Linked DNA regions of Caenorhabditis elegans. The protein of the gene in region 4 interacts with the protein of the main gene of each other region in a pairwise test. Each region holds a gene or a part of one and is shown on either strand. Other genes may lie near its edges.

What was found.
Region 1: the proteins of gip-1 (region 4) and frg-1 interact in a two-hybrid assay, tested with the Caenorhabditis elegans proteins (one large-scale study listed by BioGRID).
Region 2: the proteins of gip-1 (region 4) and rotr-1 interact in a two-hybrid assay, tested with the Caenorhabditis elegans proteins (one large-scale study listed by BioGRID).
Region 3: the proteins of gip-1 (region 4) and C14B9.3 interact in a two-hybrid assay, tested with the Caenorhabditis elegans proteins (one large-scale study listed by BioGRID).

What each region holds. Positions count from the first base shown.
Region 1 is NC_003281.10:12,976,504-12,982,704, reverse strand, and holds frg-1 (Protein FRG1 homolog), read right to left. Parts: upstream 3,544-6,201; 5' UTR 3,531-3,543; coding exon 3,463-3,530; intron 3,404-3,462; coding exon 2,893-3,403; intron 2,839-2,892; coding exon 2,593-2,838; 3' UTR 2,542-2,592; downstream 1-2,541. Other genes in the region: dbd-14 (DB domain-containing protein), read right to left, coding at 32-142, 200-430, 1,553-1,612; ubq-2 (Ubiquitin), read left to right, coding at 4,184-4,322, 4,400-4,486, 4,536-4,696; ZK1010.2 (DUF155 domain-containing protein), read left to right, coding at 4,843-5,366, 5,948-6,201. UniProt on the Caenorhabditis elegans protein: Binds to mRNA in a sequence-independent manner. May play a role in regulation of pre-mRNA splicing or in the assembly of rRNA into ribosomal subunits. May be involved in mRNA transport.
Region 2 is NC_003281.10:6,146,391-6,156,521, forward strand, and holds rotr-1 (Nbl1_Borealin_N domain-containing protein), read left to right. Parts: upstream 1-3,570; 5' UTR 3,571-3,625; coding exon 3,626-3,672; intron 3,673-3,723; coding exon 3,724-3,763; intron 3,764-3,884; coding exon 3,885-3,994; intron 3,995-7,011; exon of another isoform or gene 7,012-7,091; intron 7,092-7,121; coding exon 7,122-7,230; intron 7,231-7,295; coding exon 7,296-7,427; intron 7,428-7,713; coding exon 7,714-7,902; intron 7,903-8,015; coding exon 8,016-8,144; intron 8,145-8,193; coding exon 8,194-8,343; 3' UTR 8,344-8,550; downstream 8,551-10,131. Other genes in the region: wht-7 (ABC transporter domain-containing protein), read right to left, coding at 2,677-2,804, 2,848-2,956, 3,003-3,059, 3,109-3,195; Y42G9A.3 (Leucine-rich repeat and WD repeat-containing protein 1 LRR domain-containing protein), read left to right, coding at 254-496, 549-749, 801-1,157, 1,316-1,559; Y42G9A.2 (uncharacterized protein), read left to right, coding at 1,808-1,906, 2,354-2,620; anmt-2 (Nicotinamide N-methyltransferase), read right to left, coding at 8,713-8,850, 9,378-9,455, 10,042-10,131.
Region 3 is NC_003281.10:8,105,042-8,112,850, forward strand, and holds C14B9.3 (uncharacterized protein), read left to right. Parts: upstream 1-3,748; coding exon 3,749-3,835; intron 3,836-3,893; coding exon 3,894-4,032; intron 4,033-4,374; coding exon 4,375-4,475; intron 4,476-4,550; exon of another isoform or gene 4,551-4,693; intron 4,694-4,718; coding exon 4,719-4,855; intron 4,856-4,901; coding exon 4,902-5,041; intron 5,042-5,214; coding exon 5,215-5,315; intron 5,316-5,725; coding exon 5,726-5,846; intron 5,847-5,894; coding exon 5,895-6,115; 3' UTR 6,116-6,172; downstream 6,173-7,809. Other genes in the region: gei-8 (Nuclear receptor corepressor 1), read right to left, coding at 6,576-6,754, 6,808-7,162, 7,211-7,809.
Region 4 is NC_003281.10:2,343,951-2,351,758, reverse strand, and holds the start of gip-1 (Gamma tubulin complex component protein N-terminal domain-containing protein), read right to left. Parts: upstream 4,169-7,808; 5' UTR 4,165-4,168; coding exon 4,092-4,164; intron 3,123-4,091; coding exon 3,030-3,122; intron 2,981-3,029; coding exon 2,723-2,980; intron 1,513-2,722; coding exon 1,308-1,512; intron 1-1,307. Other genes in the region: phf-5 (PHD finger-like domain-containing protein 5A), read right to left, coding at 5,178-5,345, 7,579-7,667.

The DNA.
Region 1 (6,201 bases), about 11 Mb from region 4:
CGTACATTTAGTAGATCAAAAAAAAACTTACGGTATACTGTAGCAATGTGGAGTTCTCGTAATTCACGGCTGTTGGCTGGGGAACCTCAGAGGATCCACGAGAAGACTCGCGGCGAATTCCGAAGATGTTGTTTTTCTGACCCTAAAATTTTTTCAACTGATCGTGGTGAGACCCAAAATGTCACCCTTCTTATCGTACCTTCAGCTTCGGTAATCCCACTGGACCACCAACTTCTCTCGAATTTTCCTTGGAATTTCCAGAGTCATCGATAAAGATTCCCTCGACTTTTTGTGTCACTGCACTTCTGGCGCGGTTCCTCGCACAACCGTACTGTCCACAAGAGTAGCCGGGTTGACATGACGATGGAGAGCATGAGACTGCCGGCGGAGCAGCACAGTATGATGAGCCACACACTCCGGATGATAAGCACTGAAAAGAGTTTCAGAAATTTTTAACGCAAATGTATAATATTTGCAAAATCTGTTATATTTTCTTTTCTATCCAAAATGAACATTTCTGTACAATTTGGCGCCTGTAGCAGTCACTATGACTGAGATCGTGACGAGACCCAAAATAGCGCGTGCCAGAATTTCGCGAAATTGTGATACCCACCAGAGATTTTTTTTTGTTGAAGAAATCGATTTTTTTTTGATGTGGAAATGTTTCGTGGCACACTCAATCTCGCCAGGAGCATAAGTTTTTCAAAAAATTTGGCGCGAAAAATTGTGTGCGCCTTTAAAAAAACTAGTAACCAATTTCCAAGTTTTCTTCGATTTTCCAAAATTTTCTCTGGATTTTAGGGAATTTTCGTGTATCACGGGAACACGAAATTCAATTTTTGCGTATTGCACAACACATTTGACGCGCAAAATGTCTCGTAGCGAAAACTACAGTAATTTTTTAAATGACTACTGTAGCGCTTGTGTCGATATACAGGCTCGGGTGGATTAAAATATTATTTTTTATCGATAAAATATTAAAATTAAGCTAAAAATGAGAAAATAATGCTGCGATTTCAAATATTAATTAATTTTAAAAAATCGAGCCCGTAAATCGACACAAGCGCTACAGTAGTCATTTAAGAAATTACTGTAGTTTTTGCTACGAAATATTTCGCGCGTCAAATATGTTGTGCAAGAAGAATTTTAAGAATTTTGTGTTCCCGTAATATTTCAGTGTAGTTTTTCAACAGAAAAAGATTTTTTAAGAAAAAAAAAAGAAAATGGGTTACTGTAATTCTTAAAGGCGCACACCTTTCTGTTCAAAAAATAAATTAAATGTCGCTCTGTACGAGACCCGGAATCGTAGTTTTAGTTGAAAAATTGCAATTTCAGCTTTAAAATAAATTTAAAAATATAAAAATAGGCTACTGTAATTCTTAAAAGCGCACACCGTTTTTGTTCAAAAATATATAAATATATATCGTTCTTTGCGAGACCTGGCAAATCGTAATTTTAGTTGAAAAATTGCAATTTCAGCTTCAAAATACCTTTTAAAAATCTAAAAATCATATTTTCGAGACCTATTTTTTTTTAATTTCCAAATACTCACAGCCTCGGTAACCACTGCACCGGCAACTAATACTAGAAAAATTGTAGTAGACTTTGCCATTTTTTTTTTCGGCAGAATTTGGTAAACTACAGTTCATATGCCTCCTCTTTTATACAACAACATCCGGTGAATTGACAGTGGAACCGGATTTCCATATGGAGTATAGGCGAAAGGAAGGTACGATTTCAAGGAAAAGAGTGGAGGGGAAGTACTTGAAGCTTGCATGCCATCCAAGGACGGCATATGGCCTTCATTAATCTCGTCTCGGAAGAGAAAACTTTGAAAAAGCGAGCTGAAGCTGAATTCAGTGGGAAAATTGCTTTGAAACGTCACAAAAAGTCACAAAATTGGGTCACAATGACCGAATATCATGATTAAAAAAAAAATCAAAAAAATGTTCTAGATTTTATATGATTTTTTGAAAATTAGAAAAATCTCAGTTTTCCCCCTAATTCCTATTTGAATTTCCGCCAATTGGATTTGTTCGATGGAGCGCGCTTGCATTATTTTAGTTAATTAATTTTTATTTATTCTCGTTATTTGACTGATTTCCTTCATTATTTGTGTATTTTTATCTAAAAAAAGAGAGAAAAATGCAAATCGTTCATTAAAAAATCACTGAAAATTGGTAAAACTTGTGTGAAAAATGCTAATTTCAGACTTGTTGTCGTCGGAACTCATAATTTTATAGTTTTACGCATTTTCAGTGATGTTTTAATGAACAATTTTCATTTATCTTGCATTTTTCTCTCTTTTTCCAATAAAAATACACAAGTAATAAAGGAAATCAGTCAAATAACGAGAATAAATAAGATTAAATTTTAAAAATAATGCAAGCGCGCCCCGTCGAACAAACTTAATTGGCGGTAATTCAAATAGTGAAAACTGAGATTTTTGGTGGCCCTATAAGAGCTCTTATAAGAGTATTTTAAAGCAATTTCCCCATTGACGATACTCCATCCTTAAACAAAAAAAGAAAGTAAAAGAATAATTATTAGAGAATTTATTGAATTTTACAGAACAAATACAAGTGAAGATTATTAACAATATCGATCAGATTTCATTTTCATCCGTCTGTCCAGCAGCAGCTCGTGTGCACTTCCGTCGGCCTGCGCTTTCTTAACTCCTTTCTTGTCCTTCACGTCAATCGCAATATGTCGGTTCTTGAGATCAACCTTCGAGTGCTGATACATCTTCACGTAGGCCGTCTCACACTCCCGAGCGTTTTTGCGGTCTTCCACAGATCTCCAATCGACTGGGCCTTCTTGTATAGCGTCTGTACGGATCTGGAAATTGAATTTAATCGGATTTTATCTATTTATATCTAAATTAGCACTTACATTAACCATTTCATTCTCCGTAGCGGTTCTACTAGCCACATAAATATGCCCCTCTTTATTTGGAACTGTAGAGAGGAAAAGTGGTGAGGAGACGGCTTGGAACGCGGTTTTTCCCTCCTGGAAAACCAACACGAATTGCTCGCGGGATCCAATAGCTTCAGCCATGGCAACCAATTGATATTCGCTGTCCACTCCAACATATCTTCCGAATCCTGTCTTCAAACTGATTTTACTATCGTCTGGAGTTTTGACGAGCGCGAAAATTTCCTCAGGATTCGGGCCTTCTCCCTCCGGATGTGGAAATCCAATTGTGAATTTTCCGTTGTCCATTGCAGCGACATAAGTTCGCGTTGAGCCGGCTCCACTGGCAACTTCGATGGCGACGTTGGTTCCTCCTTTCATATCGAATTCATCGGCAATTTTGCGCCAACCACCATTTTCGACGGTGTCTGGATCGATTTTCTCCTTGTCGTCTTTGTTCTTCTTCTTTTTCTCCTTTCCCACTTTGAATCTGCAACGAGTGAATTAATGGAGGATTTTATACACTTTAAACTTGAATATGTCACTTACAAATTCTTTTTTCCGGCTTTTAATTTCAATCCACCACCTTTTACAGCACTGTAGTCAGCGCCTGGCATTTTTTGAAGTTTTCTGCAATAAAAAACAAAATTTTCATCAATAAAACTGTAAATTTCATAACAAAACTCGAAGAAATCAATAAAAAAACGTTCGAAAAACGTTTGAAACAAAAAAATAATATTCGAATTCTTCTCCCCCTTCCCGTAAATCCTGCAGCTCTCTACCGTACTTTCGCCGTCTCTCAATTTCGCGGCGAGACCCATCACCACGGCAATCCTCCATTTGTGTCGCTGGGCCTAAATTTTTTCCGTTTTTTTGCTCGATTTTCGCCGTTTCTCTGCGAAATTTTTCCAAATTTCTGTTCAATTTAATCAAAATATTGTTCTGGACGCTTGTTCAGCATAGAAAGTGGAGATTCTGTTGTATTTTAAGCTTGGAAAACGAATTTATTATGAAATTTCATTTTTTTGCTAAATAATTTCTCTATTCTTGAATTTTTACAGCTTTTTAACGCAAAATATTCTTTCCTCTTTGTTCTAAATGGGTAGTTACACACATTATGCGGTCTATAACGTCTTTTGTCACCTTTGAAACTAGTCTCTAAAGAAAAATCAATAATTTTTGCCCCTACGCTCTCCTCCAAATGTTTCGCTCTCGCCGTCATTTTCTGACAATTTTACTCGGTTTCTTTTCAAATTATATAATTTCAGTCATGCAAATCTTCGTCAAGACTCTGACGGGTAAGACTATTACCCTCGAAGTCGAGGCTTCCGATACCATTGAGAATGTCAAGGCCAAGATCCAAGACAAGGAGGGAATCCCACCAGATCAGCAAAGATTGATCTTCGCCGGTACGTTATTATTCAGACCTGATATATTCTTGAATTAATTTCCGGGCAAAACACCCAATATAATTTTCTAATTTCAGGAAAGCAACTCGAGGATGGACGTACTCTCTCCGACTACAACATCCAAAAGGAGTCTACTCTCCACTTGGTGCTCCGTCTTCGTGGAGGTTAGTTTTTTTCTAATGTTCAGGCATTGAGAAATATTTCTAAATTCAGGAATCATCGAGCCATCTCTCCGTCAGCTCGCCCAGAAGTACAACTGCGACAAGCAGATCTGCAGAAAGTGCTATGCTCGTCTCCCACCACGTGCCAGCAACTGCAGAAAGAAGAAGTGCGGACACTCCAGCGAGCTCCGCATCAAGAAGAAGCTGAAGTAATCTTCACTCGTTCCAGTCCATGTGTTGGCAAATAAATCGTTAATTTTAATTGAATGTCGCTATTTGTGCAAAACGTAAATTTCGTAAATATTGGATTTTTGGAATGAGATTTGTACATGGTAACAAAGAATCATTATAAAATACAGATGCTCAAATCAATACTTCGGGGAGCTCTAGTAGCTACAAAGCCGGGTCCAGCCAGGCGCCAGTTCTCATTCACAGCACTTCTGCGGAGCGAGACCCAGCCCAAAGAGATAATTAATCTGGAACGGGTTCAAGTTAGAAAGATGAAGAAGAGACGCCCAGTTGCTTCATCGGTTGTTCCAAAATCCCTACGAGAACCTTCAGTCGTCGCCATGGCACTTTCAGAATCACTGAACCTCAATGAGGTCATCATGGATGCACAGCTCAATGGAATGTATAATATAACTGCAATCGACGAGGACGCGGATGACAGCTTGCACTTTGTCAAAAAACTGGAATATACCATCAATCCAGGCGAACTCAGTGAAATTTTCGTGTTTCGAGATGGAGTTGTCGTTTTTTGGAACGTTGATTCTAGTCAGCGATCGCATATTCTACGGGAGCTCGAACGATACGCAGATGCTCCATATGACTCGATGATTGTGATGGATGAGCAGGATAGAATGTTCTATAAATTTTCAGAGCAGTACGTTTTCTCTTGAAATCGTCAAATTTGCAAAAAAAAAACGGCGCCGCACAGAAATAGAGGCGGGCGTAATTTCGCAACCCTGTGGCACGGTTTTTACTTCTTTTTTTTTAAATTTGAGTTTTAGCCTCACAACCTTATGATAATCAAATTGGATAACATTTCATTCAAAAAAAGAAAGTAAGTAAAAACCGTGCCGCAGGGTTGCAAAATTACGCCCCGCCTCTTTTTCTGTGCGACACTGCTTTTTTGTTGCAAAATTCACTTTTTTTGTTCAAAAAAGAAAATTTAGATAATTTTCTCCAATAGAAGCTTCAAAATTAGGAAAAACTCGACAAAAATTCAAAAATTTACAATTTTTTATTAATATAAGCGAAATTTGCAAAACAAAACGGCGCCGCACAGATATAGAGGCGGGGCGTCATTTTGCAACCCTGCGGCATGGTTTTTCCTCTTTTTTTTTTGCAAAATTTGCAATTTTTAACTCAAAAAAAAAAGAAAAATAAAATGACATTTTCCAGCAGAAACTTTAAAATTAAGAAAAACTCAAAAGTATTAAAAAAGAAAATTATTATTTCCAGGTCTACAGGATCCACCATTCGTCAAGATCGTTTCTACCTCTCGGGAAAACATTTGGACGCCTTCCACGGCTCGAACGAAGCAATTTTAGAGCGATTTGCACTCAGTCAGGGATTCGCTGCTTCCGTGAAAATCGGAGTCTGGGAAAGTCTTCTAAACAATCTTGCGGAGCCACTCTCCAACACTACAAAATCGCTAACTCTGGGAAAGATTCCGTGGAGCCGGAAGCAGGCTCTCATGAGATCCGGAGAATTCG
Region 2 (10,131 bases), 3.8 Mb from region 4:
TGCTTCTTTTTCATCTGATAGTTTCTGACAGTAGCATGAAAAACCAGATTGTTTCCGATAATCATCTCTTTGTCTTTACTCTTCTATGTATATTCATAGAAAAGTGTTTTCAGTTTTAGTGCTAGGAACTGTAAAATCTGAGTAAATTTCCGATTGATTTTGTTTGATATATCACACTGTAAATGCGTGTAGAATCACGAACACTGATAAAAACGGCTGGCAATCAGCTGATATAATGAACCGGTACTTTCAGAAGTACTAAATCCGACGAACTTGTTCTTCATGACTATGGACTTGAAGAAATTCCAATGCGGTATCATATTGAGCAGCCAGAAGAAGATTACGATCCACAAAATGTTAAAAAGTTGGATCTCACTCATAACTCTTTCGTGATTCTTCGTGGTCTCACAACTTTCAATAATGTCTCGGTTCTTGATGTATCGTTCAATTCACTTTCGGCTTTACCAGAAGATATTGGTACTCTGAGCAGTTTGACGTGAGTACATCAGTTACCAAGTTAAAATTTAATTGACTTGAGTTGATTTCAGAACTCTAATTGCTCGAAACAACTTGTTGGAACATTTACCAAAAGGATTGCAACTTCTTGAGAATTTGGAACATCTTTATCTTTCTGGAAATCGACTTGAATACGTACCACCAGTCATTTTGACTATGAGAAAATTGAAAACTCTTCATCTCGGAGGAAATTACATCGACAGTTGCCCATCAAACATTAGTGTTCTTACGTTGTAAGTTTCCTGAAACTGTGTTTAAAAACTGTTAATCATTTCATTTTTTAGACTGAGAGTTCTATATCTCGGAGGTAATCGACTCCGTGAAATTCCTGCATCCATTGGTTGCCTAGATGAATTGGAAAACCTTGGTCTTTGTGATAATATTCTAGAGACAATTCCATCAACATTAGGAGATTTGCACTATTTGGAGACTTTGTCCTTGCATAACAACAGATTGCGAACTCTGCCCACTGATATTTTAAATCTGCGACGTCTGCAGCAATTATCTCTCCGTAACAATCCTCTGGTTCATTCATTCGTTCATAATATGGATCTTGCACCTCCATCATTGAAAGAATTATCAGGAAGAACTGTTCGACAGAACTATCACAAAGTACCGAATCTGGACGAAATTTTGCCATCGTAAGTCTTATCAAATCTTTAATTTTATTTTATGTTGGGGACATTCTAGTGATTCAAAATTGTATCAAATTGAACCCTGACGTGACCTTGTTTCTGATCAGAGTACGATATTTTTGAATCAAATTGTTTATCGAATGCCTTACAATAACCCTTTTCAGTGATCTCGTAGCTTATCTAGGATCCGCTTGTCAATGTGTCAACCCTGAATGTCAAGGAGTCTACTTCGATGCTCGAGTTGAGCATATAAAATTTGTGGATTTCTGCGGAAAGTATCGAGTTCCACTTATGCAGTTCCTGTGCTCACCACGTTGCTCCGCCGGAGTTCCATCAGTCGACTACGATACTTCGTCTGAATCAGAAGAGGAGATTGAGCCAATCATGAGAAGAGTCTTGCTTGGTTGAATTTCGTGTTAATGTATTTTAATTCAAACTTAGAATCTCAGTTGTGATCTCGTTATATTGACATTTTCATGTTTTTTTTTCATACGCCGAGGAATTATATGAACTGTTTTTTGGGTACACTTTCCAACTATAGTTAGAGACGATTAAAAAGACTAAACCAAATCGATTTGTACTAAAACCCGAAGAAGATTAACAAAGGGAGGTCATGACATGGATATTCAATGTGATTTATCGACTCATTCGAAACAATGCAAACTTTGACATTAATTTTTATATTTTCTGTGATTTTGACTGTATTCCATGTGGAATGTGCAACAAGAGCACCAAAACTTTCGAAACACACAAAGGTGAGCATTTATTTTCTGGAAAGGAATGAAAGTTGCTATCTTTTTTTCTTGAAACGCGAAACTTTGGTTGCAAAAATGTTTTTCTCAAATTTTTTTAGTTGTGCAAAATTAATAGCCTTTGGGGTACGGTTACTACATAAGTTCCCTGTTTTTGGTTTTTTTTTTGCTCAAAGTAAAAAAAAACATTTAATTTGTGGAATTTAGACAATGTATCATTTATCAAATTTGATTTTCGAACGATGATCTCTGCAAAAGTCCTAAATATCATCTTCTCTAACACCTTGCAATTCTTGTTAACCGGTTTACAAGTCTCAATTTGCAAACACAAAATTTAATATAGTTTTAAGGCCTAATCTCTGAATTTTCTGTGTCACAAGGGGGTATTCCCCAGGTTTTTTTTCAGAAAATGTTCATTGTCCCACCACAACTGATGATATCAAATTATAGAAAACAGTCAACAAGTTGGTCAACTGTCTGACTCCCGTGGACACCGTTTTGGCCGCCAAGACAGCCGATTGTGAAGACAGTATCTGTGTGTCAAGTGCTAAACAATATGCACAGAGACGATATCCAACACAGTATCATAGTACAGTAGTCCCATGTCTCTCATCAACAACTACATTGGCTCCTGTCACTGAGAAAATGGAGAAAACCAAGAAAAATGGAACTAAGAACAGGAAAATGAAGGTGGAAGGCGTTGTCAACCAAGAATAATTGGAATTGAAGAAATAAATAAATTTTCAGTCTTTTTAAATTATAATTTAGCTCACCTTGACACTTCCGGTAGCTTTCAAATTTGAAAGGTTTCGCTTTGTAAGCACATTGAGCAGCGTAGTTTTTCCAGCTCCACTGGGTCCAATGATCGCGGTAACCTCTCCGGGTCGAGCCACTCCGAACACTGAAAGTTATTATAATTTCGTTTCCGATAGTATCAAATTTACCACTATCTAAAATCCGTTTTTCCACTGACATCTTCTCTACATCACCGACTTTGATCGGGCAACATTTTCCAAAAAGTCCACTATTTGAAGAGTAGTCTTCTGAAGAGTCCTGAAAATTCTAAATATTGTTCACAACAAAATTTTTTATTATATACCGAAACTGAAATATCGTGCCATGTCAGCAGCATTTTTGGTCGAAGCTCTTCCATAAACTGTAAAAATTAAAAATTAATTGAAAACTATGCAAAAATAAAAAATCACGGATTTATCAGCTTTATCAATATCAGAAGTTGAATCCACTACACTCATTGACTCGATTGAACCTTGAATAACATTTGATTTGAGCATTTTTGCTGAAAAAGGTGAAAAATGAGTATAAATTGATTAAACCGAAGGCGGCGGTAATAAAATTCAAAGAAGCGCGAAAAATAAATCATTGACCCCGCAAACACCGGTACGCAAACTTGCACACACAGTTCACCGTACTTGACGACAAATTATCAGAAGAAATGGGTGAATCACCGACGACGGTGAAAATTTTAATCGGACAGAAAAACCGATAGGGAGTTTTCAATATCGAATAAAAATCATGTGCATCTCACACAAAAATTCATAAACGCAAAGACAAACAAACAGAATCGATTCGACTCGTCATCAACAAGAGCTCACTTGCGGAGCTCTGTGCACCACGGTCGATGACGATTGTCGGAAATGATAAGTGACATTCTTATCATCCAACACAACAGAAGGGCTCATTGTGTTGAAAAAATCAACGACGATGGACGACAGTCAAGAGTCGAGTTTTTCGGTTTCCAAATATGAAACGTAAGTCGAATAGAGTACGGTATTCGGAAAATCTGAAATTTAAATTTTTAGAAATGATGATGGATCTATGGGCCAATTCATTTCAATAAATGTAAGTTAAACTTCCATTAACAGTTTTTCAAAAGTCTGAGAAGGTAGATCAATATAATTCATTAGAGCGCATTTGCTCGCCTTGGATCAAAAACTTGGAAATCTATAATAATAATTTGAAGGAATGTGAACGGGAAATTCAAATGTTAGAACGTGACATTCGTCAACAGAAAGAGTCCAGTGCAAATGCGAAAACAGCGATAACATTCGATCAACTTCGGAAAATTCATACGTACGTTCCGGGCCGTCCGATCAGTTTTCCCGTCGGCCTCAATAGCTCACACAGGTAAAGCGCCAAGTGTGAAAAATGGCTGAATAGTGGGTGAAGGGGCGCTGGCGGGTGAACGATGGGGGAAAAATGGGCGAAGGACCGCAAAAAGACGAAGCAATGGGTGAATAAATTGACCAATCCGAAAATCAAAAAAGAAGTAAAAAAGGAGCATAGCAAAGTATTTCCGAAGTATTCATGCATAACTAGTATACGTGTTTATGGAAGTGTTTATTGTTAACAATGTTACAATCAATTGATTGTTGTAATGTTCACTTCATTTCCGAACATCTACTATTAGAGTCATCTGTTGTTGAATAATGTGAAAAACATTTTGTTACTTTTTTAAGGGTTATATTTATAGAAAAAATACCAATTTGTTATTTCCCACAAGTTTGGACATTCATATTACATTCTCAGTCGAACAATCACCTATATAAGAGTTGATTGAGCATATAGACGTCTTACTTTAAAAGACTCATAACTCTGTTGGCATTTGAATTAATAAAATGTGGCCAACTGAAAAGTTGTTGACAATAATGTGAAAAACATTTTGTTAGTTGGTAACTTTTTGTTATCTTTAGTGACTGCGGAGATGTGGGCTTCAAAAGATAACCAAAATATTCTAGATTTGTACTTAAATATATCTCAGTTCTCGATAAAGATGAAGAGATACTTACAACTATCAATATGTTTATTGTTTTAAACTTAACAACGTTGTAGTTGATAACTTTTTGATATCTTGCCTCTAGAATTAGATACATCCATTTTAATACAGGAGGTTTTAATTTTCAGAGCTCCAAGGAATGTCGGTTTGACTTATCGAAAGCACCGAACTTAGCAAAAAAACTTATAGAAACAAACAATTCAACATATTTCTACAATACCTGATAAAAATTTGATAATTTTTGAAAAAAAATTTTTTTTGATTTTTGAAAAAAAAATCCAAAGGGTCCCCCCTTACAAAATTTTTCAAAATTTTTTTTTTGGAAACTTTTTATAATATGATTAGATGTTATAGAAAAATCCAATGTTTGTAATTATTTCTAGTTTGTATGTTCTGAACACGATTTCGGACGAAAACCTGAGGTGTAGTAGAACAACTAAGTTCAAAAAACGCGTTCACTTTGGATGCGTATATCTCCGTGGAAAAATTTTTGATGGCAAAGTGATCAACTACAAAGTTGTTTATCTTAATCTGAAGTACAACTTTGTAGTTTATTGTTTCTTGTCAAAAAAATTGTTGGTCGAGATAAAGTTGTGTTCATTTTGGCAACTTCATGCTTGAATTTTCTTCTTCTTTTTCTATTCCTGTCTCAATCAACAATTTTTTTGACAAGAAACAATAAACTACAAAGTTGTACTTCAGATTAAGATGAACAACTTTGTAGTTGATCACTTTGCCATCAAAAATTTTTCCACGGAGATATACGCATCCAAAGTGAACGCGTTTTTTGAACTTAGTTGTTCTACTACACCTCAGGTCTTCTTCCGAAATCGTGTTCAGAACATACAAACTAGAAATAATTACAAACATTGCATTTTTCTATAGCATCTAATCATATTATAAAAAGTTTCCAAAAACTTTTTTTTTCAACAATTTTTTTTCAACAATTTTCATCATAAGGGGGGACCCTTATGATCAAAGTAATGATTTATCAAATTGGATGAAGAGGGTCATATTTAGAATTTTTATCGAAATTTCATTCGAAACTCTTAAAGTTGAAACGGAAATATCTTACTTAGTACTATTCGATCTATTTTTCAGCGTTTCAATGCGTTTTTTAACACCAATAAATCATTTCAATTCAACGCTTACTCTCATTATGAGTTTCATAGCAACGACACTCCGAAATAACCCTAGCGCGCCCTCTTTAGCGAAAATTTTATTCAATTTTTTTTTGCTTTTTTTGCAATTTTTCTCGTTTTTTTTCACGATTACCGCTAATTTTGCGTGATTTTGTGAGCAACATATTTTTCTTTTTCACATTTTTATAATTTGCAGATAAAAATCGAGAAAATCAACGAAAAGGATCCTTCAAAACGACGGAATAGGAAAAAGATGCCAAAAATCAGGTATTTTCAGAAATATTGAGAAACTCTGCGTCTATTCTTCTGTTAACTAATTATAATTGGTTTCTTATTCGAAAAATATAAATTTTTGTCACGAAAAAAAGCGAGAAATAATCTTCGAATTCAGATATTTCGTCCCGACGCAACTTCGCCGGCTTCGACGAGGAATCCTGCAGCGAGGGACACGATTATGAGCTGTTAAAGTGAGTTTTAAAGTTTTAAAATGTATTCTCCCGAAAGAAAAATCGTCAAACTAACTCTAAAGCATGATAATTTTTACAGGAGTGTCGCCGGCACCGACTCCGAACGAGAAAAGCTCCGACGACCGCAAACGAGAGCCGAAGGAATCTGGAAAGCGAAGGTAATATTTTATTTTCAAATATCGATACTTGTTTCTAACGAGCGAAAATGTATAATGTAATGTAATAATGATTAATCTTCTTTATTAAACTTCTTTAAAATTAATCATTTGAATTTTTCAGAAAATGGATCGATAAAATCGCTTACTGGAGGAAGACAAAAGGAAGAAAAGCGGAAACGAGTCAATTGCCGATGACACCAGAGGACGATTCATCGAAATCATCAAAAGATGAAATAAATTATTTTGTTTTTTTTTCGATTTAAAATAAACGATAATACTATAATATACTCGTTTTATGAATATTATTCTTCACTGAAAAGCAAAAGGAGGGGAATGGAAACGATAGCCTTCACCCATCGCTCACCCATCGCTCACCCATTAGCGAGCCGCTAACATGCGAACGGCGGCCCACCGGTGTGCGCGCTGTTCGTGTGTCGGCGGTTCCCCCCTCGCCTATATGCGGTCCCCCCTCGCCTATATGCGGTCCCCCCTCGCCTATATGCGGTCCACCGGTGGGCCGCCGCTCGCACTTGGCGCTTTACCTGTGCAGTTGGGAGAGCGTACGACTGAAGATCGTAAGGTCACCAGTTCGATCCTGGTTTGGGGCAATCTATTTTTACTTTTTTGGTATTCTTATATAAACTTGGTAATTTTAAGACTCTCTACATTGCTTGGACCACACAAAGAGCTATTCTTTGATAGGATATGTCGGGCAGCCGATATACAAAGGGCATCTTTGAAAAATCGTTTGAAATCAAATATAAATGTAGGATATTTTTTAAATTCAATTTTCCAATATTTTTGACTAATAGTAAGATTGCAATTTTCCAGAAATTCGAGCCCAGCACACCTCTGTCGTTTCAACCGGGATTCGATTCTCAGAGCTCTCTTTCAACGACTTCAGAGAGCCAAAATTTTGTGGTGACCCCAACAACTCTTAGCAGTTTATTGAACAATCACACAGTAAGTTTTTATGAGATTGTCGTAGTAGGTAGGCCCGTGCCCATATTATCATAACAAGTCTACCTGACCTACCTGACTATTACACATTTTCTGCATTTTGAGGCCACTTTAGATGATAACTTTAGATGTAGATGTAAACCTTTAGATGTAAACCAACTGAGATAATAACAAATAAGTAGGTCTTGTAGTGTAGCAGTAGGTAGGCACAAGGAAGGTATTATATGCCTACGTCGATGTTATACTGGTTTAATTATCAAATCTTTTAATTTTCAATAAATAATTTAAGCGGAAGAATCACATTGAAATGCTGGCTCCACTAGCGTCCGAAGAGGAGTTGATGAGATTTCCTGCGGAACGACAGTTTGATCTAATGCAAATTGGATTTAGTTACGATGAAGTGAAGCAGTTGCTGGAAATGTTTGAAAAATTCAAGAATGACGTTCAAGAGATTAACAGGCTTCATACATTGACACAGGTGAGGAATAACGGTTACTGCAGAGAAACGAGAGTGTATGTATTCTTTGGATTTGGTTGAAGGCACCTAATTCAGATTCTCTGGATTAATTGTTCCTAAAAAATATTTTTGAGATCCTGAATCAATTTTGCAACTACATCTCAATGTACGCACCACCCAATCTGAAAATGATATCATCGGCGTTCAATTTGCTAGAACTTGGAAACTCAGCTCATGAAGTGAAAAGGGTTTTACTGAAAGCGGTAATCTAAATATTCCATCAAAAAATATAACTAAATGAAATTTTTATAGCGTCGTCGTGAAGAATCAGAAGAATCAGATGTTTCATTTTCCAAAAAGCCACGTCCTTCTTCTAGATCTCCTGCATCTCCAAATCGAGATGATCTATTGTTGGGACTCGATCGTTCTCCGCCCAGCGATGATGGAACTCAGAAAGTTTGAAATTGAAATTGATGAATATGAAACACACTTTTATTATATTTAAGCACTTACCTCGGTTTTGGATGATTTCAAACGTTTTTCTACTGATGCTCCACTTTTAATTCAGTTCTCAATTTCTACAGATTTATTATTATTATTATATCAATATTAAGCAAACCAGTAAGCTCGAAATACAACATGCAGAGGACGGATGAATTCTGACCATTTTACAATTAAAAAGCGAAACATATGAAAAGAATATAGTGCACAATTAAAAAAAGAAGTGAAAGAGACCTAAAGCCGAGTACAGTACTTTTTTGTTGATATACGCCTAGTGACTTCATCAATACTGACAAATGATCGAGTGGGGAATCTAATTAAACAACAAGTTTAGAGCTTCGTAGCCATTATGAACATGACACCTTCTCCGTCCAAAACGTATTTCTTTGCATTGGCAACATCAAGACCAACAGATACAAGAGCATCAAGAATCATCTGTTCACTGAGATTGAGGAGATGGAAGATTGTCTGTAAATTTTGATTTTTTTTGTTGGCATATACATACGAGTATTTTGGCTACGAATTTTAATGCAGGTCTATTTATACAGTTGGGTCTCGCCGCGCGAAAAAACAATCATATGTTTTTTTTTTAAATTTTGTACAAAGTTTGGAAATATGCTAAGAGCGGGTAAAAGTAAGAGGAAGTAAAAAGAAAAACAAGAAACATCCTCGAGAAAACGGTTTATCGGTTTTTCCTTTAATTTTAAGTACAGTAACATGTTAGTCTTGCGGCCCCACTGCTCCGTTTTCGAAGTTAATGTATCGCTTAAACGTCTAATATTTCAGAAAAAAAAAATACTAGCACTGTTTCAAAAAGATATGTTCTATCACAAGTCTGAATTTGTATCCTTCAATCCTCATTCCCATCGCCTAAAACCAATAAAACTTCTCTAGCTATCATATATACCTGCATCATTGACGCAATCACACAAACTGACCCCGTTAAAATCGCAAGAGCACAGATCAAATTACCAGATCAATTGGCCCTTTCCTACCTTTCTTCCCGAGTTGTACTCATCGTCCTCGAGCACCGAACCAAGCACAAAACGACCGCCGGAACGGAGATGTCTCATCTGGAATCACACAAAATCAAAACACATTTTGATTTCACTTTTTCTCATTTCAAACTATCAAATCTGGTGCCATTCAGTCGTTGGCTCATTCTCATTTCTTTTTTTTCCGAAAAACGACACACTTTACATCTTGGAAAAGATGAAAGACATCTGTTTCTAAACTCTTTTTTTTTTCATTTTCTTCGTTGGCACCGTGAAAATTGGATATAAGATAGACAGAGAAATAGAGAACGGGTGTAAAGGGGAAGTGAACACTGATTGTGAAGAGATATAGGAATATGAAAAGAAAGTTATGACGAAGTTGTTACTGGAGAATAAAATAGATCGAATTACACTTACAATAACTCTTTGAGCTAGTAGTTTACTGTAGTTTACAATTTTATTGTTCTCTATTCGAAAGAAATTCGTGTTTTGAACTTAGAAATGGAGAAAAAGAAATGTGAACCAAGATCTATCTTCAGTACTGGGATTTCAGAAACTATTTTAGAAGAGACGTGTAAAATAACCTTAATGGCATAATCAAGCTCCTAAAACGAACGATATGCTTAAGCCTAAGCCTAAACCGCAAAAATCCATTTAGACTTACCATATTAGTGACACATTTACAATACTCTTCATAGTTGCGACAAGCACTTTCTAACGTGAAGATCGACACCAGGATATCCACCTTCTTCCC
Region 3 (7,809 bases), 5.8 Mb from region 4:
TGGACCCAATGTCTATTTGTTTTGTTGGTCCCATCCCCTATAAAAGGCTTTCTTGGATGTTTTTCCCACGTTCTTATCTTTTTATCCCTGTTCCCTAAGCCCTTTCCCCTTGTCGTTGTTTCTTGTTGTTCCCCTCATAAATTAATTACTTATATAAGACAACTTTTACTAAGCAAACGCAAAGTTTAAAGATTTTTGCGCCAAAAATACAGTACCCGGTCTTGACACGACATTTTTGTTAAATACAAACGGAAGTGCGCCTTTAAAGAGTACTGTAATTTCTAGCCTTAGTTGCTGTGGGATTTTCTTCGATTCTTCGTGGTTTCTCTCACGATTTTTGTTTAAAAAAATCTAAATATGCGTTTTCAGTTGTTTTATTTTAGTTTTGTAATATATAAAATTTTTTAAATGAGAAAGAAAAAAAAAAAAATTTTTAAATGAGAAAATCGACGAAATTCCGCCGTAACATTCTACTGGTTGCATATGTAATCCTGAATAAAAAGTCAAACATTGAAAAAAAAAACAAGAAATAGGATTGAGAAGGATCTTGTCGATTCCTTTACAATCAGGTGTATAGTTTGATTCTCTCGATTTTCCACTAACATCTACAGTTTGAACTTTATCTTCAAATTCGAGGGGTTTCGGAATGAGGGAACTGAGGGGAACCGGTCTAATTGAGAGATTTCAGAGAATGTTGCATTTCATGTTGAATGACGCTTCTTCTTCTTCCCCTTTTTGAATGAATAACAACTGTTGTCCAAGAAAACGCCGACGGACGACGCAATTGATGGATCGAAGGAGGGTGAATCCGTGTCGCCGCGGAAGACGGTTTGCCATTAGAATTGTCTCCTCTTTTTCTCTCCTCATCATTTTCCATGCATCACCCCCAGCTTTTCGCAACAACGTCTATGTTACCCGTTTCAGATATGACAAGACATAGAGAAAGAGAGAGGAGGGTAAGGTTCTACAGACAGAAATAATTAGAAAACGTTTCACTGAGTCATTAGAAAAGTATACCCGTAATCATTGTTTTGTCACGTCATGACAGTAATATGTGTAATTCGAAGTTTCGTTTTGTTCCTCATCCAAGTTCAATAAAGCAATTTCACAGACAAACTGTAATTTCCATACTGCGTGATTTCAAAGTTTGATATCCAATTTTTACGACTTTGTGAAACTCGTACTTAACGGCGCACGGATTCATTTGGATGGGTCTCGCCACGAAGAAAAGGTTATGGTACCAATTTCTGAGTTTCGCATCGAAACTAGAGATTTCGTGGCGAGACCTATCTGAATATTTATCTGTGCGACTATTACTTAAAGAGTGACTTTAAAGTAGATCTCGGTGAAAAATAACTCTATTTTATTTTACGAGAAAAGCCGAGTTATTTTCTAATTGACAACTCCTATTTTTGGTTGTATTTTGCCAATCAAAAGTTTTAAAGAAACTGCAGGCTACCCAAGCTGATCTGTTATAAATCTTACGCTTGAACTAAACTCTACAAACTCTTCAAAAGCAATGCTCGTTCTCACACTACTCCCTTCCCTCTATGTCTCTCGCTCCTTGGCATGTATTTTTCATGTAGGCCTTTACCAGCACGTTGAGTCGCCGCTTCCGTAGCGCAGTAGGCAGCGCGTCAGTCTCATAATCTGAAGGTCGTGAGTTCGAGCCTCACCGGGAGCAAGTGCTTTTTTGCCCAATCGGAATATGCTATGTTATCTAGATGAGTTTTTGGTTTCACTTTTTCTTGCTTCTCCAATTTTAAGCTAAACCGAGACCGAACACCGAATGTGTAACTCTTTTGACTATTTTATAAGTGAAGCTGGTATCATTTCGATGCATCAGTTTGCAAGTACATACCCATTGCTATGTACATAATAAGATTTACTGGTTACTGACTTGACAGTCATGTCTTCTTTTTGTCGTCGCTTTCTTCTAAGCGCGAATAACAACTCCCTTTGTGTCTACATGTTTGTTTTATTAAATTAATACGAATTTTATTATTGGAAGAAAACTACTCCCCACATAATTTTTACATCTAATAAAATTTTAAAATAATCTTTAACTACCCAATAAAACACCAACAGAAATTTTATTACGACAGTTTTCTTCCAGACTTGTCTTAATTTAGACTAACAAAAAGTTTTCAGAGTTTTGTTTTGAAGTCCGATAACTTTTAGTTACTTTGAGAATAGATTCTTCAATCTTTGCTCATATATTTCAGAAATAATACCCTGATGGTAACCAAGTGATCACATTGACCGGACACTACGATTTCGAAACAAAGCATGATAAGCAGCTAGCTTTCTTGTCTTCTTGTATAACCTGATATATTCATTTCTCGAATCATTCTTCTCTTTTTTCTTCTATTGTTAACCTTTTGTCTACGTCTCATCATCTCTACATATTTTCATTGTTCTCTATTGGATCTCTTTCTAAAAAGTGTCCAAAAAAACTGACTTGGCGGTCACTTTTTGGCGCAAGTACCTGTTTGGTCTCAGTTGTTGTGAAAGTACTTTACAAAATCATTTCAAAATTAAAATTGATCTTCACTTATGCGAGTTTACCTTAAAACTTTTGGAATCATTTCTAAATACACTAGAAAATTTGTTGTGAACATGCAAAAAACCATGAAAAAGGAGGAGTCTATTTGGACGTTTACCTAACTATAAGTTCCGTCATTTTTTATTTTCTTATCAGTGCTCGTTGCTTTTAAGAACTTATATAAAGGTAATACCGTTGAAAAACATCTGCACAATCTTCTCGATTATGTAATTTTCTAAAAAATAAACACCGTTCATATCTTGGTCTTTTCATGTTTTGAAATGTTTTTTGATCTAAGTTTATTTATTTAATTGTTTTAAGATGGATTTAAAATTGACAAATTACATTTCCGGCATTATTCTGCTTCAAACTGTCTTCCACAACAAAAATTACAAAAATTTCATTAACGAAGTTTCATAATTTTTCTCAGAGAATGTTTCTTCTGAAAAGAGCATGCTTACTTTCTTTCAACTTACTTTCAAGGTTCAGTGATCATGCCAATTAATTCAATTTAATTAATTTAAACGATCACTTCAATTAGCTATCCATTATCTTTTTCTTATCTTCCGCACTTTTAACAGAAAAAGTCTAAAAGAAGTCTCTCTCTATCTCACCTGTTTCTCATCAGTTGTTGTTTCATTCAATGTCCATTCCACGGGGAAAACATTAAGTTCTTGTGGTTTTCAAGGTTAGATATTTTTGCTTGAGGATTGTCAAGCTATTTACTCGATAATATGGAATTTTACGTTTTGTATTTAGCCGTTCAGTTATGACCTTTGAAAAGACGGTCTACCTAATGCCAAATAATATTTAGAACTATTAAAAGTGGAGTGCAGGCTTGAACCCCTAGAATGTCTAAATACAAATAATTACAACACAACACAATAGTAGGGGACATATGTTTTTAACCCCATTTTCAGTATTAATTATGCCTCGCCATTTTTTAAACACAAGATTTTCAAAAAAAAAATTAAAATTATTTGGTCATTATGAATGCTTTCAATAATTTCTCCCACTGGCGACACTCCGCCTATTAGAGTGAAATTCGCTAATACTTTTTCCAATCACTGTTTGCAATTCTCCATCGAATTCTTGAAAATCGTCACGGTCTAAAAATGAAGTTTTTTCTATTCAATTCTCCCTTATTCGTGTCACTGTATTCGTTCAACTTTTGTTCAAAAAACGAACACATTTCATTTAAAGATGGCAGTTGTTGCGTCGACATCAGATGATTTCTATGCAAACTACGCATTCGAATCGGCAGATCGAAAAGATGAAAACTCAATTCGGGTAAGTGAATCTTTGAAGAAAGGTCTCATGAATTGAGGGATAAGAAATATAATTATAGGTACCTCGAAGTACAGAAGACAACCGTAGGCTCAAGTATGGACATGCAGAAGATGATAATTCAGATATTGCGTATTTGAATTTTCCAGTTATTGTACCATCACTTGTATTTACAGTTATCTCAATGGGATGTTTTGTGGGTAAGATATTATAAATAAGAATCTCTGAGAAATTTCGTTTAGAACTTTAGGTTATACCTAACAAAAGAAACTAAATCTACGAAAAATGCGAAGCAAACAATAGCTTGGGTTACTGTACCCCTTATAGGCACACACTCTTTTCGCAGGCTTAAATGAAAAGGTTTTGATCGTATCGAAACCGAATAACGTACTTTTGCAGTTTAACCATGGGAATAATTGCACAGAGAATTTGCAAAACTACAATATAAATCTTTAAAATCTTCGAGTTTTGTTGAAATATTTACATGCAACAACTTTTTGAAAAAGAAACAAAAAGACAAAATGCTAGCTGTTTATTTTCAGGAGGAATTTTCACATCCCTAAAATCCGACTACATCCCTGATGAACGAGAATTAATACGAGGATACGTTATAGAATATGGCAGCAGTCGTTTTCGATGTAACGTGAGTCTCCCCTTTCCCCCTACTTTGACTCTCACCCCTTCAACACCCGTGACAAGTGTACGCTCTCGACCGCTGTTACTCTCGAAGCACGGATGGCCGAGTGGTCTAAGGCGCCAGACTCAAGCGTACATTGCTTGCCTCAAGTTCGAGGTTAACTGGGTGTTCTGGTACTCGTATGGGTGCGTGGGTTCGAATCCCACTTCGTGCAGATATTTTTGAAAATTTTCAATTAATTGTTTTCAGACAACAATTCCATTTCCAGCAGATGGGCTTCCATCAATTCTTAATCTTTTTGAATTGAACGTGATAGGAAATGTCCTTTTCCGATATGCAGTCTGTATACCAATAGTAATTAGAGTATTCAATGCACTTACAATAAGGTAATTGGAAAATTAAAGTATTTTTCAAACTCAACGCCTTTTTCAGAAATCTTCTCCGTCATGAGTACGACAAAAAGTTCTCATCATTACATAAGGTTATGGCGGATTCAATGCCAATTTTCACTTTTGTTGAAGCTTTCATGATGTCCCTATTCAGTATTGTTACTGTACATGAGGATTTTCCAGGTAAAATCTGATGCTAAAAAATCCATTTTGTAGTAAATGTTCTATCAGAATAACGATGTTTTTTAAAGGAAATAAAACTTTTTTGAATCGAGAAAAATTAGCAAATAATGGTACTGTATTTGAAAAGTTCCACTCGTTACAGGACCCTTAACCTAAATATCGTTTAATTTCAGAAGCGAATCGTTTCTTTAAAATTGTATTTGCAATGTCATCCGTTGTTAGTATGCTGACCACCACTACGGTTATGTTTGCATTTTCGTCGAATTCTGAAAGTGTGAGTTTTTGATTACAAGACAATTTTCATTTTTATTTGGCATTTGGAAGTCAGAAATCTGATTCAAAAATTTAAAAGGATTACAAAAGGAAAGCTAAATTTTGACGTTTTAATTTGAAATTCACATTTTATCATCCACAAAAACAAAAATAAAGGTCTCACCACGAAATTTTTTCGCATCGTATCCGTACAAAAGTTATGCGTCTCTAAGTACTACAGTAATAAATACACTTTATGACGTCACAAATGTATTAAATTACATGTTTTGGTGGCTTGAATAAAATCTCCAATCTACACTACACTATATACTAAATACACTAATAATCTACACTTTTTTAAACTTTCGAACACTACTAAAATAACCCCATAAAAATTAATATTAATTCAAACTTTCAAATTAAATTTTTCAGAAATGGGATACTGTATCAATGATCATGAAATTAATATCAGTTGTTATTTATGTATATTTAATGCCACAATATATGCAATATCATCAATCTTCTATCACATTTCCAATTTGTCATTCATATAGTAAGTTTTCTTTCTGTCTTATTTTTAATTGAATCAAATTAATTTCAGTGCCCCAACTGTTCGCTTTAATGGAATATTTCATTATTATTGCATATGCAACGTTTCATCTGTCATTCCTAATCGATATTAGAAACATTTCATTCATTTGTTTCCCACGATCGTCCAGTGGAGAGTGTGAACCGATTGATCCAATTAATTTCAAAAAAGGAGCAAAATATGAACACTGCAGAGCTTTTGAATATAATCAACGAAGGATTCTTAGCTTGTAGATTGATGAATTAGTTACAATTATGTTTATTTAATTTTGAATACAGTTTTTTGTTGAATGAGAAAAAAAGAAACAAAAGAATCACCGATTAAACAACCAAATATTTAAAAATAATTTCACAAAAAGCAATTGAAACAGTCAAGACAAAAAAGAATTGAATGAAATCACGCAAACACATATGATATTCAAGAGAAGGAGAGACAGTTGGAGAAACAAGAAAATTGATACTCGTAACTATTTACACGTGCCACTCAACCCAATTGAGAATGGAACACAAATAATACGGTACTTTGTACGCTACAGTAACCCTAGTTTAATGTAAATTATTGAAGGGTATTTGTTAAAAAGGGAAAGCATTGAAGGGAGGAATTTAAATGGATTAAGTGAAAGAAAGAGATTAAGTAAAGAAATAGGAGCAATGAAATGGTATAAGGAAATTTGAATATTGAGGTAGGAAACATCTATTCATCATCCGATAAGTCTTCATAAACAAGATTTTTGCATGGTGGACCGTAATCTTTGATTGGTTGAATCCCGTTTTGAGCTTGAACAACTAAGGGATATTTGACTGGAATCTTCTTGGTAACTGCCACGTGACCGGTTGCCCGTAAATCGATAACTGATCGGAAAGCTGTTTTATCTGGAAAAATTATGATATTTTTTTTGACAAAATTCGTGGGAATAAAAGCTTACCGCCTGGAAGAGGAGGCAATCTGTTGGCTGGCAACTTCTCAGGATTTCGAACATCGTCATCATCTGAAGACACATCTGACACATTTGAGTTGACTGATGATGGTTTACCAGGAATAATAGGCATAACAGGATGATGTACAGCTTGTGGAGTCGGAGGTGCTGTCTGTACACCTACTGAGGGAGATGGCATCGCATGTGGTGTGGAAATTGGAGTTGGTGCAGCAATTGAAGCTGCTGCTGGCGGTTGCAGAAACTGTGGAGCTGATGCGGACGATGAAACTGTAGACGTTGTCGCTTTGTTCAAAAAATGAGAAAACGTTGTTGGGATCGGCCGGACAATTTCCGCATTGGGACGCTGTAAGAAAAGATTCATAGAATTCATTTCAATTTTAAAGATACATACCAAAAGATGGAATTTCTCGTAATGATCAGGCCTGGCTTGCTGCTGCTGTTGCAATTGTTGTGCCGCCTGCAGTTGAGCTTGTTGTTGAGATTTCTGATGAGCACTATGAATTTGATATTGTTGTAGTGCGAGCTTCTCCGCCGCGGAAAGATTTGCATATTGCTGTGGATTCTGTTGCAATTGTTGTAGGAATGCATCTAGTTCTCGTGATGGTTGAAGTACAGAAGTCGATTGGAGCATTCTCTGACAACGTTCCTCGTCTCTCTTGACAACGTCGTTAAAAATATCAAGATACGAAAACTTGGCAGACGGATTCGCGGCGGCAGCAGCTTCGCTACTCGAAATCAATTTAGTCACAATCCGATCAGATGGCGGCGCCTTCGCCTCTTCATACATCATCATTGAAAGACACTCCATAGCTTCATCTTCTGTTTTCACTGGTGGAATGCTCGATCTTCGCTGGTGAGCAGGAACACTTAAAATGCTCTTCATTCGTTGTCCAGAAAGAGTTCTAGGTCCTTCTGTCGGTTGAAGACGTTTTATAGATGCTGGCGTCTTGGGTGGTCCTTGATATACACATTCAATTTCATCTGAATTAT
Region 4 (7,808 bases):
CCAATTTATGACTGAAAATGTGAATAAATACCCGTTTTTACTGCAATCAATCAGAGTAGAAGCACATAAGTCACTGAAATTTCAATTTTGGAGCCGAAGAACAAATATTTCAGTTTTTTTTTCAACTTTCTAGGAATTTTCAGCAATTTTCAGTATGAAAATCGAATTTCCTGTGAATTTTTACCTTTTTAGAAAATTATAGTGTCGATTTACGGCGTAAATCTACACATGAAAATTTGTTTTATTTCAAAAAATCCAAAATTTTCGATAATGCCAATTTTTTTAATAAGAAATTCAAATTTTGTATGAAAATCTGAACATTTCTGGCACAAAAAACGGGGAAATTTTGCTCAAAAAACCGTTTTTTTTCAATTTTTAACAGATAACCTAGAAATCCAAAGAGTTCGGCCACCAATTCATTTTCGTCTTTTTCTCCTTATTTTTTGCAAATTTTTGGGAAATTTTTTTCATAAGATTAAAAGAAAACGGCCAAAATTTTTTTTTCACATTTTTTGTTTTGATTTTCCATAAATTTTCCCATTTTCGTTCAAATATTCAGAATTCAAACGAAAAATTAAAAATATTCGCACGGTGGCCTAGAAATTCAAAAATTTCGGCCATTAATTAATTAATTGTCTCAAAAAACAGCCAGACAGAACAGAATTTCACTTTTCTATTTAAAAATTTATGAAAAAAGCGCTAAACATTTTTTTAAAAGTGATTTTTCATATATTTTTTGATGAAAAACCCGTTTTTTTTTTTGATTTTTCGCTTAAAAAAATTAGTAGAATAGTAGAAACTGAAGGTTAACTGATTTTTAACAGGGAAAACAGGTTAGAAAACTGAAAAAATGGGTGATTTTTGAGGTTTTTTAGTGGGGAAAAGCACACATTTTGTTAAGGAAATCCCATGAACCTACTCGTTTTCTTCGAAAAATTCGGCTGATTCTGATCTAAAAATGGGAAAACTTATTTTTCAGGGTTACTGTAGCGTCAAAAGTACGCAAACACCGCAATACACCAAATCTTACGACATTTTGCAGAAAACGTCAAAGAAATGAATTTTTGGGGTAAAAACTGGGGGAGAACCGAGATTGAAGTGATTTTTTTCAAAAAACTTGAAAATTTGAGCCATTTTTAATCACAAAAACTCATTTTTTCGCGATTTTCTGAAAAATGTCGTTAGATCTGGTGTTGGCGTACTTTTAAAGCTACAGTAACCCGGAAAAAGTGTGCTAGGGGTGAAAATTAGCGGTGAATTCGGTATTTTCAACCAAATTTCCTCAAATTTTCTCGAAAATTACGCACGTAAAAAGCTGATTGCTGGCGCTAATCGGCTGAACCCTCGTAGTTGGTATTCCATTAATTGTATACGGACTCCGTGGCCGTTGAGCCATATTTCCAGCCAATTGGCGTTCCATTCCAAGCATTCGATTGTCATAGGCAGTAAATGAGGAATTGGCACGAGAACGAGACGATGAATCGGCAATTGATGGAGTTTGTTGGTCTCCGGCTGGAAAATTCACTAGTTTTATGGAAAAATTCGCCAATTTTCTGTGAATTTCCAATTAAAAAAAAATGATTTTTCATGATTTTTAAAGCGAAAATAGGCTTGAATTTGTAGTTTTTCTCAATTTCAATACATTTTTACATAGAAATTTGTAGAAAATTCGAGAAAAAACGCCAAAGTTCTAATGGGTGGCCTAAAAACTTGCAAAAAGTTAGGCCACAGTGTTTGGGGATTTGCTCAAAATTTGATTTTTGTGGAATGATTCTATGGAAAATTGCAAATCTTATTGCGAAAATAAAAATTTGAGCATAGCTTTTTGGCTCAAAATCAGCTTGGTGGCCTAGAATTCCATAAAGATCGGTCACCGAAAATTTCTTAGCTGAAACCGATTTCAACACTTAAAATCCATCAAAACCCCAAAAATATGCTAAAAATCGGGTGAAAAATGAAAATTTGGGCATAGCTTCCGCATCTCCGAGTGACAAATGTGCTCTATTGTCAAATTGTTGGCAGAAATACGGTATTTATTCACATTTTCAGCCCAATTTGAGGATGAAAATGTGAATAAATACAGTTTTTAGTGCAAACAAAAAAAAACGAGTAGAGGCACATAAGTCACAGGGGAAAATAGTTCAAAAATTTTGTGGCCTAGAAATCCAAAGAGTTCGGCCACCGAATGATTTTAAATCCAAAAACCACATAGAATTCAGTTTTTATATTCAAAATTCGATTAAAAAGCGACTCTTCGCCAAAAAAAAGCCTCAAAAATTAAAAAAAAATTAATGAAAAAAAACGCAATAATTGTTGCTTGAGAATTAGAAATTTAATAAAAAATTTCTAAAAATCCGAGTTTTCCGACTGGTGGCCTAGAAATCCAAAAAGTTCGGCCACTTAATCATGGCAAAAATTTCGTTTTTTTTTCTATTGAAAATTAATGAAAAAAAAAACTTTTTTTTTTCAATTTTCCACATTTTTGTAGGTTTTATTTCAGCATTTTTTCTCGAAAATCGAACAAAAATAAGCACAATCTTCAACTTTTAAGGAGAAAAAAAATATTTTTATAAAATTCAGGTCAAATTTGACCGAAAATGTCTAATTTTTCGAATTTTTAATGAAAATAAATGTCAATTTTCAAATAAATTATCGACTTTTCAGTGATATTTGCTCCGTTTTTTCACAATTTTTCGCGGCTAAAACCGGTAAAACACCGAACTCAGCGTGCTGAGCACCCGTCCACGACTTGCAGATCTTCTTTGAAACGGCGATGAGGATGGAATCGAATTGGTCGGGGTACCTCCAATGGATCCCAGACCAATACTCGGACTATTTCTTATTGTTTCATTATGAAATAAGTGAGCCTGTCGACATCTCACAAGAAAATCCATCATATAATTCATTTCTACCGATTCGTTCATCAGAGCATCGATTTTTTTGCGAAGCGGTTTTATTCCGTTCGGATCACGAAGTTCGCCTGGAAAACTGCCGCTTTTTTTTTTGGTTTTTTCCCTGGAATTTCATACATTTCTTAACAAATTGATCTACACATGTTCTCGAAGCGTTCACATCGTTGAGCTGACGGCTGTGGAATAGCCCTTCTTGAACTTTTATCACATCTGAAATACAGAAAATTGCAAAATTTTGATTAAAAATCCGTTTTTCTACGGAAAAATCGGCTGAAAATGGTTTTTTTTGTGCAAAAATCGCGAAAATTCACAAGTTTTTCGGCTTGAAAATGAAAATTTGGGCATAGCTTCCGCATCTCCAAGTGACAAATGTGCTCTATTGTCAAATTGTTTGCAGAAATACGGTATTTATTCACATTTTAAGCCAATTTAAGGCTAAAAATGTGAATAAATACCCGTTTTTACTGCAATCAATACGAATAGAGGCACAAGAGTCACAGGGGAAAATGTTCAGAAGTTTGGTAGCCTAGAAATCCAACAAGTTCGGCCACCAATTGATTTTAAATCCAAAAACTGACTAGAATTCGGTTTTTATAGTTGAAATTCTAATAAAAACCGATTCATCACCAAAAAACCGTCTAGAAAATTTCAAATATCTCAAAAAAAAAAAAGACTTAAAATTAAAATTTTGGTTTTAAAATTTGAATTATTCAAAATTCAAAATCCCCGTTTTTATGTAGAAAATCAAATAAAACGGTCTATTTTTAATGGGTGGCCTAGAAATCTAAAAAAAAAGTTAGGCAACCAAGAGAAAAAAAGCCGAAATTGGAGTTTCTCTAGTAAAAAACGAGATTTGAACGAAAAATTCAAAATAAAATTTTTGGCTCAGAAAATCGTGGCCTAAAAAAATCCAAGGAGTTCGGCCACCAATATATTCTTTTGATGAAAAAAATCTGAACTCTTATTATAATTTCAGGAGTTTTTCTGCAAAATGTCGTAAGATTTGGTGTACCACAGTGTTTGCGTACTTTTGGTGCTACCGTACCCCTCGAAATTCGAATATTTACTTGAAATTATTGATATTTTATGGAAAATCTCATTTTTTCGTCAGAAATTCGATTTTTCAGTCAATTTTTCGGCTTTTTCGGTGTTTTTTCTTCTAAAATTCAATCCAATTACCTCTATCATGAAACCCGAAAGCATTTAAAAATTGCTGTACAGCTTCAACTTCTTCGCTGCCTTGTCGACGCATTTATCTGAAATTTTTCCATTTTTTTTTCATAAAATTTCAAGTTTTTGGTTAATTTTCTCCAAAAAATATTCAGATTTTAGTTTTTTTTTAAACAAAAATTAAATTTCTCGCAAAATTACCCAATTTTCAGGAAGAAAAATCGATTTTTAGTGATTTTAATTCAGAAAAATTCGGGGAAAACTGAAAATTCCCGTAAAAAATAGAGATAAATATACACAAATAGGTAACAAAACCAGCACAACACAGCAAAAAAAGGGAAAAATTACAGAAAAATCGATAATTTATTCGAAAATTGATAAAAGGGTAGAGGAAAATTGGAAAAAATGGGGGAAAAAGACAATTTTTAAGGTGAAAATGAGTGAAAATATCGATTTTTCAGGCAAATTTCAGGGAAAAATTGAACATTTTGAGTGAAAAAAAGGGCTTTTTGCGGAATTTTAAGTGAAAATAGGCGAATTTTCAGCCAAATTTCAGGGAAATGGCATATTTTTAACTGAAATAAGTGACATTTTGGCTATTTTTCACGGAAATTCGAAATTTTTAGGAAAATATTGTCATTTTAAGCTAATTTTTCAATAAAATGGTAACATTTTCACAAAAATAGGCAAAAATGCCAAAATGTTGCCCAAATTTCCAGTAAAAAAGGGATGTTTTAGGGAAAAATAGTGGAAAAAATCGCGATTTCAGCAAAATTTCGATAAAAACAACGAAAAAAAAAGGCAAATTTTCACAAAAATAGGCAAAATTTGGTCAAAAATGCCAAAATTTTGACATTTTTGCTCAATTTTCAGGGAACAAAAAGGGAATTTTACGATTTCAGCCAAATTTCGATATTTCCAGCTCATTTTTAGCCAAATTTCAGTCAGATTTCAAGAAAAATAGGAATTTTCAGCGGAAAAAAGTGGAAATTAACAGAAAATTGGAACATTTTTGATAAATTAGAGGTGATATAGGTGAAAATTCGGCGAAATTTTGTGATTTTTCGCTCATTTTCGCCGCCAAAAAGCCAATTTCTACGACTTTTTCGATCCGAATTTCTTTCGTTCGTAGAACAAATCCGTCTTCGCACTTCCCAAATTCACAATTTTCGGGCATCCGTCACGATCCTTTTCGAGAATTGTGCATTCTTTGCAATAATATGCATCACTGACGCCAGCGCCACCACAAATCACACACCGACCCTGCAAAAAAAAAAATGGAAATTTTAATTTTTAGCCGAAAAAAAACATGAAAATTTCGCGTTTTTCCGATTTTTTTTTAGAAAAATTTGTAAATTTTGCCGTTTTTCACTCGTTTTTTGAGAGAAATTTCACAAAATTTTGCATTTTTCAGTCGAAAAATATGAAAATTTTTCAATTTTCCTGGTTTTTCCCCTCTTTTCTGAGTAAAAACCCGTTTTTAATGGAGAATTTGAAGAAATCCAGTCAAAAATTTGAATTTTTTAAAGAAAAAATTAGTAAAAAAAAGCTGAAAATTGCACTTTTTTGAATAGCGTTTTTCACGCGTTTTTTGAGAGAAATTTCACAAAATTTTGGATTTTCGAGCATTTTTTGCGGAAAACTGACAAATTTAGCGTTTTTTACGCCGAAAAGCTGGTAATTTCCGCAAATAATGTCAATTTTTAGTGGAAAATTTGAATTTTTCCATATTTTTCTTTTTCCAAAGTGAACTTTTCAACGTTTTTCACAATTTAAAAAAAAAAAAAAAAAAAAAAAAAATATATATGAAAATATCCTGAAAATTGGAGCATTTTGAGGGGGAAAAGCTGGAAAATTGAGAAAACTTCAATTTTTTCGAGAAATTTCACAAAATTTTCGACTTTTTAGTCGAAAAAACATGAAAAATTCGAAAATTTTCCCATTTTTCACGGGAATTTTCAGATTAAAAATTAAAAATTTATATTTCGAGGCATTTTTTTTCGCTAAAAACACATTTTTCCAGTGAATTTTCAGCGTTTTTTACCAATTTTTTCTTTAAAAATTCAAATTTTCCATAAAAAACAAGGAAAAAACCGAAAAATCGATATTTTTACCATTTTTATCGAAGGAAAAGAGGGGTCAAAGACGCAGCAATATACACAGATTAAGTGTATTTGTTTTATGCGCACGCAGCACATTATTGATAATATTGTAGTGTCGATTTACGGCGTAAATCGGCACTTTAAAATATTTTTTTCTTAAAGAATTCCAAATTTTTGGCATTTTAAAGCTAAAATTGCGAAAATTCATCCGAAAATCTACTTGGAACATCAAAAAATTTCAATTTTCGTGAAAATTCACAAGTTTTCGGGTGAAAAGTGAAAATTTGGGCATAGCTTCCGCATCTCCGAGTGACAAATGTGCTCTATTGTCAAATTGTTGGCAGAAATACGGTATTTATTCACATTTTCAGCCCAATTTGAGGATGAAAATGTGAATAAATACAGTTTTTAGTGCAAACAAAAAAAAACGAGTAGAGGCACATAAGTCACAGGGGAAAATAGTTCAAAAATTTTGTGGCCTAGAAATCCAAAGAGTTCGGCCACCGAATGATTTTAAATCCAAAAACCACATAGAATTCAGTTTTTATATTCAAAATTCGATTAAAAAGCGACTCTTCGCCAAAAAAAAGCCTCAAAAATTAAAAAAAAATTAATGAAAAACCGTAAAAAATTACAAGTTTTTCGGGAAAAATGAAAATTTGGGCATAGCTTCCGCATCTCCGAGTGACAAATGTGCTCTATTGTCAAATTGTTGGCAGAAATACGGTATTTATTCACATTTTCAGCTGATTTAAGGCTGAAAATGTGAATAAATACCCGTTTTTACTGCAATCAATACGAATAGAGGCACAAGAGTCACAGGGGAAAAAAGTTCAGATAATTGGTGGCCTAGAAATCCAAAGAGTTCAACCACCAATTGATATCAAATCCAAAAACTGAATAGAATTTGGTTTATACGGAAAAAACATAGATTTTTAGGGGATTCTAGGAATTTAAACTGAAAACTTCACGATTTTCAAGTTAAAATCGTTTTTATTGTCATTATTTCAAATAAAACTTCTAAAAAAAAGGATAAAAACGGCTTGAAACCATCATTGTCATATTGGTGGCCTAGAAATCCCAAAAGTTAGGCCACCAAATTATCTTGCGCAAAAAAAAAACACAACTTCTAGGGGTGAAAATTGGTGAGAAACACAATTTCTAACTGAAAATTTGAGAAAAATCAGTTTTCAATGGCCTAGAAATCCAAAGAGTTCGGCCATCAGTTGATTTTTGGTGGAAACTTCCCAAAAAACAACAAAATTTGCAAAATTTTTCCGATTTTTTCGTATTTCTGCGAGTTTTCACTGTATTTTTGTATTTTAAAACGGGATTTTCAATGATTTTCGACTCATTTTTGAGCATTTTTCAGTAGATCTCCGCGTGTTTTGTACCTGATATGATCCATAATTACACTCTTCACAGATACGAACCAATGTACATGGACGAACATGTGAATCACAAATCACACAACGACCATCGCCTGCAAAAATTGAATTTTTTGAGTGTTTTTTCTTGTAAAATAGACTATTTTTTCGAATTTCTCGCCAATAAACACCAATTTTTATAAATTTTAAATAGGAAAAATTAAATTTTCAGGAATGTTCCTACTAAAATCGATAAC